Styela clava: one gene and its partner. The protein of the gene in region 1 interacts with the protein of each later gene in a biochemical or structural test. Links are inferred from orthologs where the notes say so. Each region holds a gene or a part of one and is shown on either strand. Other genes may lie near its edges.

What was found.
Region 2: the proteins of max dimerization protein 1-like (region 1) and protein max-like form a complex in vitro, tested with the Homo sapiens proteins (4 studies listed by BioGRID, with this or other methods). The link is inferred for Styela clava from reciprocal best matches to the Homo sapiens genes MXD1 and MAX.

Annotation. Positions count from the first base shown.
Region 1 is NC_135257.1:12,297,793-12,306,150, forward strand, and holds the start of max dimerization protein 1-like, read left to right. Parts: upstream 1-4,663; 5' UTR 4,664-5,194; coding exon 5,195-5,318; intron 5,319-6,754; coding exon 6,755-6,845; intron 6,846-6,997; coding exon 6,998-7,027; intron 7,028-7,274; coding exon 7,275-7,389; intron 7,390-7,660; coding exon 7,661-7,829; intron 7,830-8,358. Other genes in the region: tubulin alpha chain, testis-specific-like, read left to right, coding at 1,330-1,332, 1,618-1,849, 1,923-2,027, 2,091-2,287, 2,415-2,912, 2,972-3,165, 3,339-3,471. UniProt on the Homo sapiens protein: Component of a transcriptional repressor complex together with MAX. In complex with MAX binds to the core DNA sequence 5'-CAC[GA]TG-3'. Antagonizes MYC transcriptional activity by competing with MYC for MAX binding.
Region 2 is NC_135255.1:8,056,474-8,065,597, forward strand, and holds protein max-like, read left to right. Parts: upstream 1-5,294; 5' UTR 5,295-5,495; coding exon 5,496-5,528; intron 5,529-5,939; coding exon 5,940-5,972; intron 5,973-7,176; coding exon 7,177-7,284; intron 7,285-7,604; coding exon 7,605-7,728; intron 7,729-7,957; coding exon 7,958-8,052; 3' UTR 8,053-8,268; downstream 8,269-9,124. Other genes in the region: uncharacterized protein LOC120330631, read right to left, coding at 1,029-1,172, 1,477-1,555, 1,877-2,014, 2,477-2,479. UniProt on the Homo sapiens protein: Transcription regulator. Forms a sequence-specific DNA-binding protein complex with MYC or MAD which recognizes the core sequence 5'-CAC[GA]TG-3'. The MYC:MAX complex is a transcriptional activator, whereas the MAD:MAX complex is a repressor.

The DNA of each region.
Region 1 (8,358 bases):
TGTAATAGGGTATGAATGCCGTTTTTTTTTATGTCGGTACGTAAGCTATATTAGCATGTAAATTAGCTTTACATAAATTTAATACAAAAACTTACGAAAATACAACAAGGCTAGCTGCGATGCACGTTACCAATTCGCTGCCGTCGTCCATGGCGGGTTATAATAATTTCAACCAAGCTCTGCCATGATATATTCTTTGCTGCAAATTCTATGATGTCATGAGTTTCAGACACGCCCTTATTTCATATTCTTTCGTGTAGGCTACATCGATGAGGACATGCCTTCATTGTGTAGGCCTACATCAATTTCTGATTTTGAACTTGTCCGTGAAACTGAGCGACACTTCACTAGTAAATTATGAATAAGGCGTCGTTCACCTTGGAGGTTTTTCGTAGCAGCCTGAGATATTTCGAAGCCAATTGCAAACACAGCCTAAAACGATATCACACAGAAGTACTCCAAGTGTGCGATATCCGTGACGAAACAAGTGTACTGGGATTTAAGTAAAATCGTCCAGATAAATTTATACCTGCTGTGCATACTGAACATGGAGAGACAGCTATTTTATGAGTTGTTTAAACGGTTCCATTACATTTGAACCCACGACAATTGCACCTATGGAAACTTGCATCTACGGATATTTGAACCCATACTAACCCGAACCCACAACAATTGCACCTAGGTGCATACTATTGCACATATGGAAATTTGCATCTACGGATATTTGAACTTTTAGCACCCGCATATAGATTGCATTGAACCCGCGGATATACGGGTGCAAATTTACGTGGGTTCAAATGTGCCGTCACCGTTTAAACACGAAAGTCTGAACACATGCGATTAAATTTCACACAATTAAAATGCTGTTTCATACGAAACTCCATGATAGAAAACTGTTTCATCGGACCTTCTTCGAACATCTTCACCGCACCCCAAGGATTCGATCGAACACGTTTAAGAAATACTGGTGATACATAAACTCATTACTCAACTCAAAAGAGTATATCTATGTTAGCCTTGAAATTCTATTTCGATTGTGCCATAAATATATTGAACACCCCCATGTTACATCAGATACATCCGTATAAACATACTGTGTAGGATAAGTATGAAAGTTTGGCCACATTCGGAAGAAAGCCATCTGCTTGGCAGTAATCATTACTGATAAACAACATCACTATTTTGTCTGAGCACTAATCACTTGTTGTTCGCTGTCCGATATAAGAACAGTTTTGTCAAACGCATCTCCTCTTGCCACGTCGAGCGTCTAACCCCGTTCGCGGATCTGTTTAGTTTTATTTTCGTTCGTTGTTGAAAGGTTATCGGAAGATGGTGAGTATTATAGTTACTAATCGCTACTGATGCAAAAAGTCAGCTAGATGAGCGAAACATGTGGGATTTTTATGTGGGTTTATTTCACTAGCCAAAGCTGCTGAAAGGAATGTTTGAGGTGAAATAATGTACAACTAGTTTATTGATTTTTTAACTGTCTGGCGCGGGCGTGGAAGGCACGGTGGTTCGTAACACGTCGAAATTTAAAAATTCCCAAAGCCTCTTTACGACATACCATATAAGGCCATAGTTCCTATCATTGTCAGGAGTGAATTTGTATTACAGCGCGAGTGTATTTCAATTCACGTTGGACAAGCCGGAGTTCAAATTGGAAATGCATGCTGGGAGCTTTATTGTCTGGAACATGGTATAGAACCAGATGGTAACATACCAGCACGTTCTGATCCCACCAAAGAATGCAGGGCCGACGATTCGTTCAACACTTTTTTCAGCGAGACGGGGTCTGGAAAGTATGTCCCGAGAGCAGTGTTTGTGGACTTGGAACCAACTGTTGTAGGTAAAATGATAAAATATAAAAGATAACTTGATTTAAAACATACAATCCGTGTCTAATAACCTAACCATTACAGACGAAATCCGTTCCGGCAAGTATCGACAACTGTTCCATCCTGAACAACTGATTACTGGGAAGGAAGATGCAGCGAACAATTACGCGCGTGGACATTACACCATCGGTAGGTAGTCTCATCTAGAGAGTATTTTTTTTTGACGATTATTAACTTTTCGAGAATTTTTAGGCAAAGAACTGGTTGATTCCGTTTTGGATCGAATTCGAAAGCTCACTGATCAGTGCACCGGTTTACAAGGATTTCTCATTTTCCATTCGTTTGGCGGCGGAACTGGGTCAGGATTTGCCTCCTTATTGATGGAGAGACTCTCTGTAGACTACGGTAAAAAGTCGAAGCTAGAATTTGCTGTCTACCCCGCTCCCCAGGTAAGATCTATCAATGTGACAAAAGCGTTATCAGGTCGGCTTTTTTCCTGGCCTTTAATTAGTAGGCTTATTGGATTTGGGTGTTTCAAGGGGCAGTGCCCAATATAATTTTTTTATGTTTTCCAAGGTTTCGACCGCTGTTGTTGAACCATACAATTCTATTCTGACCACTCACACAACTCTGGAACATTCAGATTGCGCTTTCATGGTCGACAATGAAGCCATCTATGATATATGTCGACGTAATCTGGACATTGACCGCCCAAGCTACACCAATCTGAACAGACTGGTCGGCCAAATTGTGTCTTCTATCACTGCATCATTGAGATTTGATGGCGCACTCAACGTAGATCTGACAGAATTTCAGACTAACTTAGTGCCATATCCACGAATCCATTTTCCTCTAGTTACATACGCCCCTGTGATATCGGCTGAGAAGGCGTACCACGAACAGCTCTCAGTAGCAGAAATCACAAACGCTTGCTTTGACCATGCTAACCAGATGGTTAAATGTGATCCTCGCCATGGAAAATATATGGCTTGCTGCATGCTTTACCGAGGTGATGTTGTTCCGAAAGACGTGAATGCAGCAATAGCCAATATCAAGTCTAAACGCACGGTGCAGGTATGTCAAGTGTGTTGCGAATAAGTGGTAGCTAGATATTAATCTTTTTTATATTTTAGTTCGTCGACTGGTGTCCAACTGGCTTCAAGGTGGGCATAAACTACCAGCCTCCGACTGTCGTCCCGGGTGGCGACTTGGCAAAAGTACAGCGTGCAGTTTGCATGCTCAGCAATACGACTGCCATCGCTGACGCTTGGGCACGTCTGGATCACAAGTTCGACTTGATGTATGCAAAACGAGCATTTGTTCACTGGTAGGAAATTTATGCACGTTTGTAGGTAGGATGTAGATTTTTTCAAACACGAAGGCGGATATTTTCAATTTAGTATTTTTTCCCCGAATTTCATTCATGCAAACTTTGAAACGTCAATTCATAACCAGTTTTTAAGATTGAAATGCGATAATAAATGAAGTTTCGTTTCGAAGGTACGTCGGCGAGGGCATGGAGGAAGGAGAATTTTCAGAAGCTCGCGAAGACCTTGCTGCCCTGGAAAAAGACTATGAAGAGGTTGGTGTCGATTCTGCGGCTGACGGCAGCGCTGAAGAAGAAGAGTATTGAGCAGACTTTGAAAATATGCCTTCCAATTGCAATATAAATTGTTAGTGTCCCTATTTAACACGTTCCTGGCATATCTGCATCAGTTGTCGAGATTTTCACGCATTTTCCGAATTTTGTATAGTACCACTTTTCCCGAAACGCTTGTTCCCAGAGCGGACACTTTGATCAGAATACATGCATTTCAATCAATAGACTAAATCTTAAATGGCTTGTATGGTATTAGCTTATGAATGAAATAATTGAAGCAATAATTGTGCCTTTTTCACGCATATTTGCTTGGGAACTATTTTGAGGCGCACGTTGCAGGTGAAATCTTTCTGGAGTCGGGCCTTTGACAATGCGTTTTTTTTGGTGCTTCAATTACTCGAGTTTACGGCTTTCGTGAAATTACCCGTCCGTCATGTCGGTTATGCGCATGGGTTTGCTTTTGAGTGAGTGGTAAGTAGTCGGCGCCCCGAAGTGGGATACTTTCTCGTATCCATAATATTAGATTTTTAGAAAGGGTAGTGTGATATCCCTTTAGCAGTTCTTATTGCGTATGAATCTGGGAAATAAAATCTCGTTTCGGCCGGCTTCGCACGTTTGGAACTTCACTCATCGTTGTCACGATGGGGAAGATAAGCGTAAAGGCGGCTTTATAAATCGGAATTCACGGCATGATTGTCCAAATTCGGTTTATGATGGTAAATGACCTACTATTCGCCATCAGAAACTATCAAACAAGCCAACAGAACTTACAAAATGTTGCTACGTGGCTAAAATGCTGATTCTTGTCAGGTTAGAGGCATCGCTGTACAACGAATTGAACAAATGTGGGTTTCGCGTTGGCTTTGATGGAATTAATAGTAATCGAAAATCGTATTCTAATTGGATTCGGTTCCATTAAATCCTCAAATCATCCCATTGCGTGAAATTTTTTTGTAAGCAAACACTCCACTTATAGCGCGGAAAACGTATGCCATAAAACGGTGACCGTACATTTGAACCCATGTACATTTGAACCCATGCGTATATCCACGGGTTCAATCTATATGCGGGTGCTAAAACCCATGGGTTAGGGTTAGTATGGGTTTAACTATCCGTGAAACAAAAAAAATTCCATAGGTGCAATAGCATACAGGTGCAATTGTCATGGGTTCAAATGTACGTGGGTTCAAATGTAATGGAACCCCATAAAACACTCGGAGCGGACGGATGCCGTCTACAGAACAACAACACAGGCTGATTGGAGTCTTATATGACGTACAATCATCATACACCAGTCAGCTGATTTCGCAGAGAGGCGTGGGTGTCGCGTGTTTGTTTCTTCGTGTTGAGCGACGCGCTCCGCATTGCCGATTTTCTGTTGGAAATGGCGGACAGGGGTTTCAAAATTTAGCGATAGCGACCTTGTGCTCGCGTCTCTCTTATTCCACTATTGTTTAGCAGCGGTACCCCGCCTCTTCGATACGCGTTTAAAAGGAAAAGTAGGCGCAGGCGTGCGAGACATGTGGCCTCACTGGAGAAGAAATGCTTTGAATTTGATTGGTTACCGAGTTTTTACGTCACGATTTCTTTGTTTTTGTGTTTAGCCCAGAGGTAACAACCTGACACGACGAGGTTTAGCGGGCGACCTTAGAGCATTTATAGCAGATTTATTTTTAACGAAATATTTGATTACAATTAGTGGAATAACGTGAAACTATTTTATTAAGCAAGTAACTTAGAATATTGACTGTTAATCATGTTGCGATCAATGAATGCATCTCCGACCAGCGAAAGTGATGACGATACGAAGGGGCTGGGGTTGGAGTTATTGATTGAAGCTGCAAACTATTTAGAGAAATGTGACAGTAAAAGGCAAAGAGGTAATATACTGACAATCAATTTGTGCATATTTTCCTCAATACCATTCATTTTAAATATGTAAATCGAGAAATTACAGACCTTTATCAGATGATATTTTTCAGTTTTCTTTTTTTATTCTCATTGATTATTAGCACATTAAGTTGTTGTTGGTGATATATTCTAGTATTGCATTTTACACTTGTGTGATCAATATCAGTTATAACTATATTTCTGATAAAACTGGAAAATGTACCAGTTTATAAAAGTCACTCACACAGGTCATAAGTCAGTAAGTGCGGTCATTCTATTTTTCTGCACTCAATAAAATTCAGTTTTGATCAAATACATTATCAATATTTATAATAGGCTATATATTGGTGGTATTGTCAAGAAAAGTTGTAAAACTTTTATACACGCATTGATACAGTATTGCAACGTGCATTAGAGCGTTTTGACTATTGCAGTTGTTACAATAAATACTTTCATCAAGTTTTAAGTAACGTATCAAACTATTCCAGAAGTGTCAATTGATTCAGCAAATGTTGCTCAGTTGTTTATGGCATGATGTAATAATTCACATTACAGTACAGCACACTATACAAATCGCGTGACATTGTCCCGTTTCAGAGAAACCCATTTTACAGATGATCAGACACCCCTTCTTTGGGAGACGTCTGGACATTGTTGTCCCTCAATATCGGTAATAATGCAGTATAATGAAGTTGCGCAAAATACTACAAAGAAGCGCACTCTAGTAACGTCATCATTGAATTCCTTGGGAAAAAATAATCCGATTTACAGAAGGAAAAAAAATTCTACCGTAGCATTCGAGAGTTTTTAGCAAAAAACGGCAATTTTGGTCATGTGACGGCCTCGATTAATTTAGATTTTTATTGAAACAAGCATGGCACGATATGAAGCATCTGACGTGGTCCCAGACGCCCCTCGTTTGTGAGACACATAGAGTGTTTGTTTTATTGAGCCAAATGGAGGGAAATTCTTGGAATTTGGATAGTGTGCTGTACTTTAGGTGTAACTTTCAACTTTCTAGGTATTTCTCTGTATTCAGATCATCGCAAGGTTTTAAATATATTTAGCATATTGCATTTAATAAGTATTTCAGCATATTGCATGTTGACTAAAGATTTTGGTTAAAAAATATTTTTGTCTGAACATTGATAAACAATATCGTACCTTATATAGGGTGACTCAAAAAACAGAACCCATAAATTTCTTAATTACTTCTACGAAAATATTTTAAAATCTGAACACGTAACTTCAGTTTGTGTATGATTGTACCCAAAAGTTGTAGTAATCTACGAGGCTTTGCATAAGAATTATCTTCTCTCTCTCCTTCTCTGAGTTCTGTTTTTGGGGTCATACCATATAATGATTCATATTGTGATTGAAAAAGATTTTGATTTTGGTGACAAATATTTTTTTTTATTTCATACAGAATCAGATCATGGATATGCATCAACTTTTAAATACGGTGACGATGAACCGGCTAAAAAACGACTGAAAAGTTCAAAGAAAAGTCAAAGCAGGTATGAATATTGTGATCAAAAATCTGTTAGACTCTTGAATAATATTGAATACGGATATTTGTTCTAGTTATGAATTCAATTATCCTTTTATATCAATTTAACATTTTTGACATGGTATTTCTGAAGTACTATAATGCTCTTTTTGTTTTCAGGACATCCCATAATGAACTTGAAAAAAATAGGTGAGTGGAGTTACTTTAGCCCCATAGGCTGGATTATCATCCGACTATTTAATTAAACCAAGATTTTGTGTTGTGGTAACTTCATTCTCGACTATCCATGTACCGGTAATGAAAATTCATAAATACTGACCTAAACTGATGCATTCATTAAAATTGCTCTTCCCCACCCTGGCATGTTTCAAATATTGAGCAAAGGTTTTAATTGTTTCTGTGATATATGATTGTATTATTTTGATACACAATTTAGACGTGCCCACCTACGAAACTGCCTCGATAACCTCAAATCAATCGTTCCTCTTGGATCTGACTCAAACAGGCACACTACCTTAGGACTGTTGAAAAAAGCTACTTCATTGATTAAGGTTGGTGGAAGAAATATTTTCAATTTGGATTTTCAGAATTAATTCGTAATACTTTTTGATAGTACATATTATAAAAATGTAATTTCCTGTATTTATAGACTCTCTTGCTGTGAAATTATTCAAGTTAGATACAGACTAATTTATGCTGGGAAAACTTTCGCAAGGCTGAAGGTTGTTATGGCTTTTTGGTAGCAGTTTTGAATATGTATGGATGATCTTAAATAAAATAATTATGAAAAATTATCATTCTTTAAATTTGTTAATATTTTAGGACCTTGAGGGGAAGGAGGTTGGTTATGAGAAAGAAAAAGACAAACTCGGCAAATATAATGAACAATTAAAGCAAATTTTATTTCGGTTGGAAATAAAATTTGAAAGACTGCGTCGAGATTCAACCGGATCTACTTCACTGTCTGAGTGCTCAAACGATTCTGATAAAGGTAGGTGTATTTTTGTTACAACTTATTTAGGTTCATAGCAATGCATGCACAACTAGCAAGAAGCGAACAATATGGCAAGCCAACATTTTGAATGTATATACAGACAAACTTCATCAGAGCGATTAATTTGAATAAGCCTTTCAGCAACCGCCTGCTATATTTAGTTTTATATTATGCACTAGTATATACTCCCTCAAGTAGTTTGTAAGTAGACAGTTAATTTTATCAAAAGGTTCTGCTTCCACCATGTTTTTATGCACAACATTTTGTATTCTGCAGAAACATTTGAACATTTCAGTTAATAAGTTTTGAATATTTGGTTTCAGAATGAAACATTCAAATTTTGAAATACTTAACATAAACAGATAATCAATGGATATTTCTGCCAATGAAGCCATAATTTAATAATAAATCAAATAAAAATTGTCTATTATTCTGTCCTATTTTTGTTATTAAATTTTATAACTGTGTTGCTACATATTACAACATCATTCGAAACATTTCTCAGAAGCAAGGCAATCTTATACAT
Region 2 (9,124 bases), on another chromosome or scaffold:
ATCTATATAAGATAAATGAACAAGAACTATCATCGATTGACAGTTAGACGTAACAATTATCAACCTATCAGACATAGAAAAAACTTTCCAAGATAAATAACAAATTGCACGATCAGAAAACAACATAGTATAGGGCCCAGGGATGGCGAACCTTTTTCAATGAATGGGTCAAAAATTATAATTTTATCGCGGAATAGAAGAGAGTTGGTCACAGATATTTAATTCACGTTTGTATCTATAAGAAACTTCTGAAACAAATCTTATAAGCTGGTGTTGGTATAGTTTTGGGCTTTACTTATGCAGCACTTCTATCAGGCCCTTTATGGCACTCGGTTCTAATGATATTAGAGTACGAAAAAAACGCAATTACCAAAAACGTTTAGGATGATGCGTTAAATTATTTTACAGTTCTAGTGTTTGGAGGTAATTCCGCTTTGATAGTGGTAAAATTTTGGATCAGCGTCCAACCACATTAAGGCCATTGCCATTGTTATATCAGATTTATAGATTTTTCTTTCTGGAAGATTTTGTTTTCTCAGCGGCATTGTAGGCGAGAAACTAATAAAATGCAAAGAGGCATCCAGTTCTCGTATAACCCCTAAAACAGTCTGCAGATGCACTTCCGAATAAGACAAGCCTTGCGAGAAATGAACAGATCAATTGTAGTGTTATGTCATAAACGATGTCAGGCCCAATAGCTGAATAACGGTATACAACAGTGCATATATGCGTCCAAGATTAGGGGTTTTGAAAATTACCATACCGGCTCAAAAATCAACATTTTGAATTTGAGCTATCGCAGCCCTGACTGTCCAACTGACGGTACATTATAATAGTTTAGTTATTGTTAGATTAATTTAAGGCCGGTTTCATCAATTTTTATCACTGATATGTTAGCATTTATTTTATTTGTGCCTTCGCTTGGCGGGTCACAAATAAAACGCGGTGGGTCACTTTGTGACTCGCGGGTCAGTGGTTCGCCATCCCTGGACTATAGGTCAATATTATTGCTGAAATGGATGAATTACCAAGTTTAGTGAATCCACGCTGTCGAATATCGCGAGGAGGTCTGCTTTTCTGCAAATCCAAGAAAGTACAAGCTTGTAGCGATCCGTGATAAAGAGCAAACATCAACTGACTCAAGTTAAACAATGATTCAGCTTGTCTCAATGCTAAAGAACATTGATAATTAATTTTATTTTGCGTATTTTTTACTTATTTCCATCAGAACTATTCATTCAACAGGTATATAGCTTAAGCCAAGGTAGGTGTTGCCTCTTTTTCGTGAGGATTATTGTATATCCAAGCAAAGGGCTATAGTACATCAGGAGCCGCTATTTCTCTATTTTAGTTAAATGTGGGCAGTCTGTTCATTTATTTGTGTTTCCCACATCTCTGCTTATCATTTTAAAGATCCTCGCATCTAATGGAATTATTAACCGCATCTGCTGAAAAATTAAAATACTGCAAACCTACCTATGATGCAAATTTCCCCGTTGTTGCACTTTTCAATAAATTCACCATTACTCCAAAGAAATGGTCGATCGTCATTTCCCTGGAAGTATTGGGAAGACACTTTAAAAAAAACGTAGTAAATATCCTCAACGCAAGTGACGCTAGACAACCTTATTTATCGTAGTGCAAGGCCGAGCTTATTCGTGTTCGTGCAACAACCATGTTCAGCGGTAGGATTTTACTCGTAGATGCCTATAATTCGACTAAACGGCACTAGCGTTCACCTCACAGATGATGTTACAGCATTCTTACAGATGTGCGAAGTCACTTTCCTCATTTCAGATTTATAAGTTTTAAACAAAAAGCTATAAAACAATACAATATACAGAAGGATTTTTGACAAAACGAACAGCAATCTTACTTCAGTAGTTAGATTTTCAACAAGATGGTCCGAATCAAAATTATCAAGATCCAGAAAAGAATACCAATCGTTGAACTTGAATCCTATTTCTCTCAAGTGGTGTTCAATACTAGCAGTATTCATAGACACTCCTCCGACCTCAAAAATAGTATAAAGACATTACGTCACTAAAGAAAGTTACGCTTTTGAACCTCATTGATAGAAAAATATAACCAAATGGGATGAAAACTCAATACATTAAATTGTGCACCCAAATAATTGATAATAATTCTAGTCTGAAATTGTTTTTGGAACTTGACTTGGTCGAGTCTTGCAAATGACCGGATTCCATTAGCAAAAAAACAATATAATAGTTTAATAATAATGCACATTTTATATAAGCTGCATCATTTCACCTACATTGCTAAATAGTAAGACCCACTTAATTCAGCTCAAAATTATAAATAGTAAACAGTATTTGCACCTGAAATCATTCAGACAACTTCCGTAAACTTTGAAAACAGTTGGAATTTCATTGCAAAAAGGGTGAATCCATACAGAACTTTAGACAATTAAGAAGATTATTTGAAATACATAATAATATAATCAAAATCACCGTACCATTTTGCAATATAATTTGTCCCTCGATCAAGTTGCTTCGCCTGTCGCTGTTACCAGGTAAGATGCTATCCGTAATCAGCTGTTTGGGTAACATTATGACGAGTAGAAACGCAAAACATGTGTTTAGATACTTTATTGCGTCATAACGGGAAAACATGAGCTCGCCATTTAAATTCCATCATGCCCATCAGATTAACAGATAAGCGCTCTCCATTTCTTCAGGGGTTCCTCGTTACTCCATCTTTAAACCTATCAAAACGGTTCATATATTTGATTGCTTTGGTATTTACTCTTTTAGTACCGCGACCCCCAAACATAATAATTTTGATGAACTGAACTGTCTCTGCTTTCCCTCCCTTCAATGTCGAAAGAAAGTAATAAAGCATTCATCTACATTTAGCCTGTTTGGTCTCATCTTGATTTGGACATATTCTGTATATATTCACGTATCCTGACAGCGCGGAAATTTCATGCCAAGTTCTGCGTTTCATGTATGGTAGCGCCAAAAAATGAAGTCTTCTTTACTGCACGTTACGAAGAAAATAAAAAAAAAAACTGCAATACAATTCCGTATTTGCATAAATATATGTTGAATAAAATACATGCACGGATGGCTAGCAAGATTAACAGATATGCAAAAAAGTATACATCGCGTGTATTACCGAGGAAAAAAAACTTGAAAAGAAATAAAAATCTTCGATCTTTCACTTTATTAGCAAATATCAATTTCTTGAATATGAACGCAATGTTCGTATTTGCACAGGTACATATAAATGATATCAATCGAACCCGAAAGTGAAGTATTAGTTGCAAAACAAGACCATTAAAAGCAAACAAAACACGTGGGTTCAGCGCATGAGGGCCCGTTCACATATGTTCACACCATTGCGTTGACGCACCTTAAAACCTTGTTTATTTAACTTAATCGTGCGTTGCTGCGTTAACGCATTGCGTCAACGCAGTGCGTTGTTGGAAGACAATTCTTGCGGCTTGAACCAATTCCAGTTTCGACAGAAGTAAATGCACTGGTATAACACGTATAGCTTTAACTAAAACGTATTTGGCAATAATATCGCCCATATAATTTTTACAAGCCGACTAGTCCACTAGTCCAGCTCGCGGTATGATCGACATGGTTTACTATATACCAAATTAATTGCAAGAAAGCTCACGGCCTCCGGCCAACTCAGTCGGACACGTGACCCACCGAGTGACCAGCGGTAACCCATAGTGAGGCGTTGACCACCGAGTTTATACCGAGGCGCGCTTTAAACATTGTTTCTTTATTGTCCCTACCTGCTTTCACAGCGCGGAAGTTAACTGATTCGCAACCAATCAGACCGCTCCGTTACACAGAAGTGAGAGAAGTGAGGTTGTTGTGAAAATGAAATAGGAGGGCACGTGTATTAGGTGTATTAGGCGTGAGACTTCAGCGAATACCGTAGTTTTCATAAGTCGTTTGCTTTGTTTGGCTTTCCTTTAGTCTCGGTGTTGGTTCCCGTTTTATCGTCATCTTAAATTTCGCAATACATGGGAAATATCTTATATAGACAAGCTGTTGTGTTGAAGGGGTTCATATTCTAGTACCGGTACTGTAGTAAATTATTACAGCAGAATCGAACCCCTCCAAACGTCTCGGGTCTGTCGGTGAACAGGTGAAACCATTGTCTGATTGTTAGCATTCTTATTTTAATTTTAACCAACTAGGCTACTCGACTCGATTTTGAATGTATAAATAGTTCAAATTATTCTATTCCTATTGTTTATTACTGGGAAGATCTGAATAAAGGTAAAAAAACAGAATTACAGAATTGAGTTGAGAGAAAAGAGAAATTTTTCTGATATTTCGCTTTGTGTGACCAAGGTGGTTTGAATAAACTGATTCTAGTTTTTTTTGAAACGAACATCTACGGACTGAATTACCCTAACTGCTGAACTGTCATCAGAAAAATAGTTGCAAATGTCATAACATCATGCGCTTAAAAAGCGAGAATAGGGTACCAGTATATCTTTTCTGAATTCCAGAACTCAATGACATTTTAGATAGTTTTGTAGTTATTAGTATCGAACTACTTCAAGTAAAGTTTGTATGGTGTACTCCTGAATTATGTTTTCTTCAAAATAACCGACTGTGTATAGAAAAAGAGTAATAGTTGTAACGGTATATATATTTCAGTATTTATCATTGAACTGCTGGAATATTGTTGTTTGATGCAAGACTCTGTCAGTCTGTAGTGTGTTCCTAATGCAATCTTCAGATCTTGAGTGAACAAATGAGTCTCATGTATTTAGTGTATTGCAATTAGGTTTTTTGATATTACTGAAAAAACAGCAGCTACAGCTGCGTTACTGCAGTTCTAGGATTTTAGCAATCCAAAAATCTGCTTGTTCACAAATTTGTGGGAAAAGATATCAGATACCAAATTGAGTCCCTTCCACTGTAATATCTTTCAATGGTCTGTCAGCCTCTTTTTATTCAATTTGGAAACTTAGTTGTTATATTTTCCTGATTATAATATGAATTGTGTATATTATTTATTACGGATACTCTATACTGCCATAGTATGCTCTGTTGTCCATCACTTTTCATCAACAGCAATTTAAATTGTTCCATCAAAAAGTTATGCTCACTTGTTTTTGAGAATTTTGTTTCTTTTCATAATTCGTATCGTTGAACACCAGTTTTGTAATTTCGTTAAAAAGATCAATGTCATGGTCGGAGAGGAGCTGTAATAAAAAACATTATGCGGATGAATTTGACCATGGCATCTCTGTTGTGCCAAGTGCGTGTTGAAGTAACCTCGCTTTTTTTACTTATCCATATAAAAAGCTATTAATATCTTGTTTATTTGGATTGCTTTCACAAAAGCATCGATACTTAATATCATATTCTGATCCGATCATAAGCTGCATTTTAGTATTTTATTTCATGGATCTGTGGTAACAGGATTATTATTTCCATCTTTTGGCAATACCAACTAGCAAGCTGGATCACCAATACACAAAATCGTATGATGAAATGAATGATGTGGATATTGATGTTGAAAGTGAGGTAATGAGAAAGTATTTGTAATGTATGATTGACAGATTATATGCTCTGCATGATGAAATGCTTCTAATCAAACTCCTTGGGTAACAAAAAAAATAGTATCCATAAAGTTCTTGATCATTCTACAAAAATGAAGTTCTGTTTGTGTATAATTTTATCTAAAAGTTCCAGCAATCTGGATTATTTTTACACAAAAGTTGTTTTCTCTAGAATGTCTGAATGTGTTCCAAATGACCTAGGTTCTGTTTTTGGGTTACCCTGTACCGACTCACAGCAGAGTCTCAAAGCTTTCAAATGATAGAAGAATGAAATTGTGACATTAACTGTATACTTCACTTCAAACAATTTCAAAATTAAAGTTTTAAAAATATCTTTTGACTGCAAAAAATAAAACACAGCAACAATTTGTTTCAGGATGAAGATCGTGAAAGTCCAGCTATGGGAACTGTGAGTTTACAGAGATGTTTTTTGTTTGTTACGAAAGTGTGTTACAGGGTGGTTGTACTATTGACATGCAGATAAAATGAAGAGCAAATAAATGCCCCCATGCTGACATGAATCATCTCTGTTACATTTCATATGCAATGTTTGCCTAAATATGTAACTTATTTCACAATGTTCTCGCTGCCATGGTGTTTGCCCCAATATTTGCATACTTAATTTCAATTGAAGGGAAATCTGTACTCTGTATTATCAATTTTATATACAAAAAGCAGATTCAGCTTTAATAAACAACAATCTATCTAACAACAATATTATCCCTGTATGTAGATACTTTCTCTCTGTTCATTTTTTGATTTCTGTCATACAGGGTGTCCAAAAAGTTTCGCCCGATTTCATAGCAACCTCAATTGCAAATTTGAATAAATTTTGTTTTATGCTAAATGGGGACTACAAAATCCAACATTTATAACATCCAATTAGATACAGGTTGACTATAAATCATTTCTATAATTAAAAAAAAAAATGGTTATAAAAACTTTATAATAGGGCAAAACTTTTTGGACACCCTATACAAATTATTCAGAAATATTGTGTTTATGTTTAATTGACAATAAGTTGTTTTTTCTCCATGCACACTAAGAAAAGATAGATAAGAAAAGATTTACATATTTATCCCGGGGGAGAGGAAAGCTGATAAGACGGCTTAACCATATGGCGAACCACGGCCCCTCGTTCGGTTACCATTCCATGGAACCACCCAACGGCGGCGAGGAGTCCAGCAATCCTCTCGCACATAACCATCCCGCATGGGATTCGAACCTGCGAACCCACGCAGAGTAATTAGAGGTGCGGTGGCGAGCGTATTCCAAACGCTTAGCACGATGAGCCACACCGCCGCACCTTGCACACTGTTTTCAACCCTTTATTTACATTCGTCGTTTTTTATTTTGGTAGGTGAGTCAAAGTTAGCTTTGTTAATATCTCTTTCTCGACTCGCTGATGGACAATTATCCTTTTATCGATTTCGATCCTTTTATCGAATTCGATTTCCAATAGGTTTTCACAAAAATATCAATTCGTTTTGAACAGTTTTTATGAATTAGCCATAGATTTGAAAATTGTCTTTAGATAAGAGCAATAAGTTTGGTTGCCACTTTAATGTAATTCAGTGAATGTACACTATAACAAACTTTTTTTATCAATTAAGTCCAACAAAAGAGCTCATCATAATGCTTTAGAAAGAAAAAGAAGAGATCATATAAAAGAAAGTTTTAATGGACTTCGTGATTCTGTACCATCATTAGAGGGTGAAAAGGTGACTTCTAAATTGTAATCAATATTATGTGGATAATCAGTTTTAGACAAATACTTATGAGCTTTGTTACTTATCGATTTTAATCGGTAAGTATGTTGATAGGTATTTGTCTGTCTGTCTGTATGTCTGTTAGATACCAGCGATATCTCACGACCAGAAGCCTATTGATTTTGGGCGAATTATGTTGTATAATTAGCGAGTTATTAATTAATTAGTGATGGGACACAAGGTGTCACTATGGAGTAAGAGTGCTGTTTCGGGGATCCCCTAACTTTCGATCGATAAGTCTTTGGTCTCTGACCGATATTCTCGTTTTACAGTCATCAAGAGCACAAATTTTAAATAAAGCCACAGACTATATTCAACTCATGAAAAGGAAAAATGTAACTCATCAACAAGATATAGATGATTTAAAGCGGCAAAACAGGCTATTAGAGCAACAAAGTAAGTGTTGAAAATGAGTATTTCCGTTAGGCATATACCGGTATATATATTAAATTCGCTGTTGGTCTTATGCAAACTTTTAAAATGAGATCAGTTTCAATGGTTGTGGGTATCTCACTTAGAAAGGGACCGACTGTTGTTGAATTCTTAATTATTTCTTGTGAAAATTTGCAATTTCCAACACATAATATTTTTGTAAATTGCAATTGATATATTGATATGTTTTCAGTTCGAGAACTTGAAAACTCAAGTAGACAATTTGAACAAAATGGAGACACAAGTGAATTAGATTCTGATGAAAGTGCTCAACAACAATCATCATGAACTTGCCTCAACGCCCATTATAATAAACTGTGAGGTGCATTCTATCCTGATTTCTGTTCTTCTCTTCCATTGCACATTTACTTTTTAGTTCAGCTCAAATAGTTGCTGACCTGTACATCCTTTTGTACCGCTTCGCTTCATTGAATTCTAGCATACAATCCTGTATTTTTTGATCTTTTATGTATTTATATTAATAAATTTGATGTATTATTATAATTTGGGGCCCATGGTCGTTATGCTATGGGTTCGTCTTTATTAAGCAGATCATGAGGTGATTTTATAAACGCTATGTTTAGATCTGACAGACGGAGTACTTTGTGAACGAGTGCCAATTTGCCGCTTGCCAGTTTTCTTTATTCGATTTTAGCAGCAAATGAGCTTGAGAAATCAGCAGGAAATAATTGTGACATTCTTATACAGTACTGAGGGAAACGGTCTGACTTTCGTGAAATAATTTTGTCGGATTTAGGATAGGACCATCCGCACATGGGATTAAAAGTCAAACCTGCGAACCCACGCAGAGTAATCAGATGTGCGGTGGCGGGCGTATTAATAACGCTTAGCACTATGAGCCGATGAAAAACACATATCGCCTTCCTTGTGAAACGTCATTAACATAATGCATACGTTTAAATCAGGTACTATTTGAACTGGTATTATGATACCTGTTCACACCATGCCGAAAGTTTAAAGCCTGCGTTTTACATAGGTAATTCCAGAAGCTGATGAAATAAATTTTCTCGGGAAAATTGTTCTTAATTTAACGAGCTGTCGCAACAGTTGCTACAAAAATTAAAGAATGTAAACGATCTCATGGCTAGCACCAGAGGCGGCGCGTCAATAGGGCCAACCGGGGCAATGCCCCGGTTGTTTTTTCGGTATAATAAAAAATATTCGAAAAATACCTCAATATCGGTTGCACAGACTGTCTACACTAGCCATATTCTCCCGACATGGTTCATTTTTCGCTCGCAAAGCCTTCGCCGAACGTCGACGGGGCGACGCCGATTTTGCCCCGGTTGCTCATTGTATATCGTATTCTCTCTTTTATCTTCCACTCGACGCGTTTGTT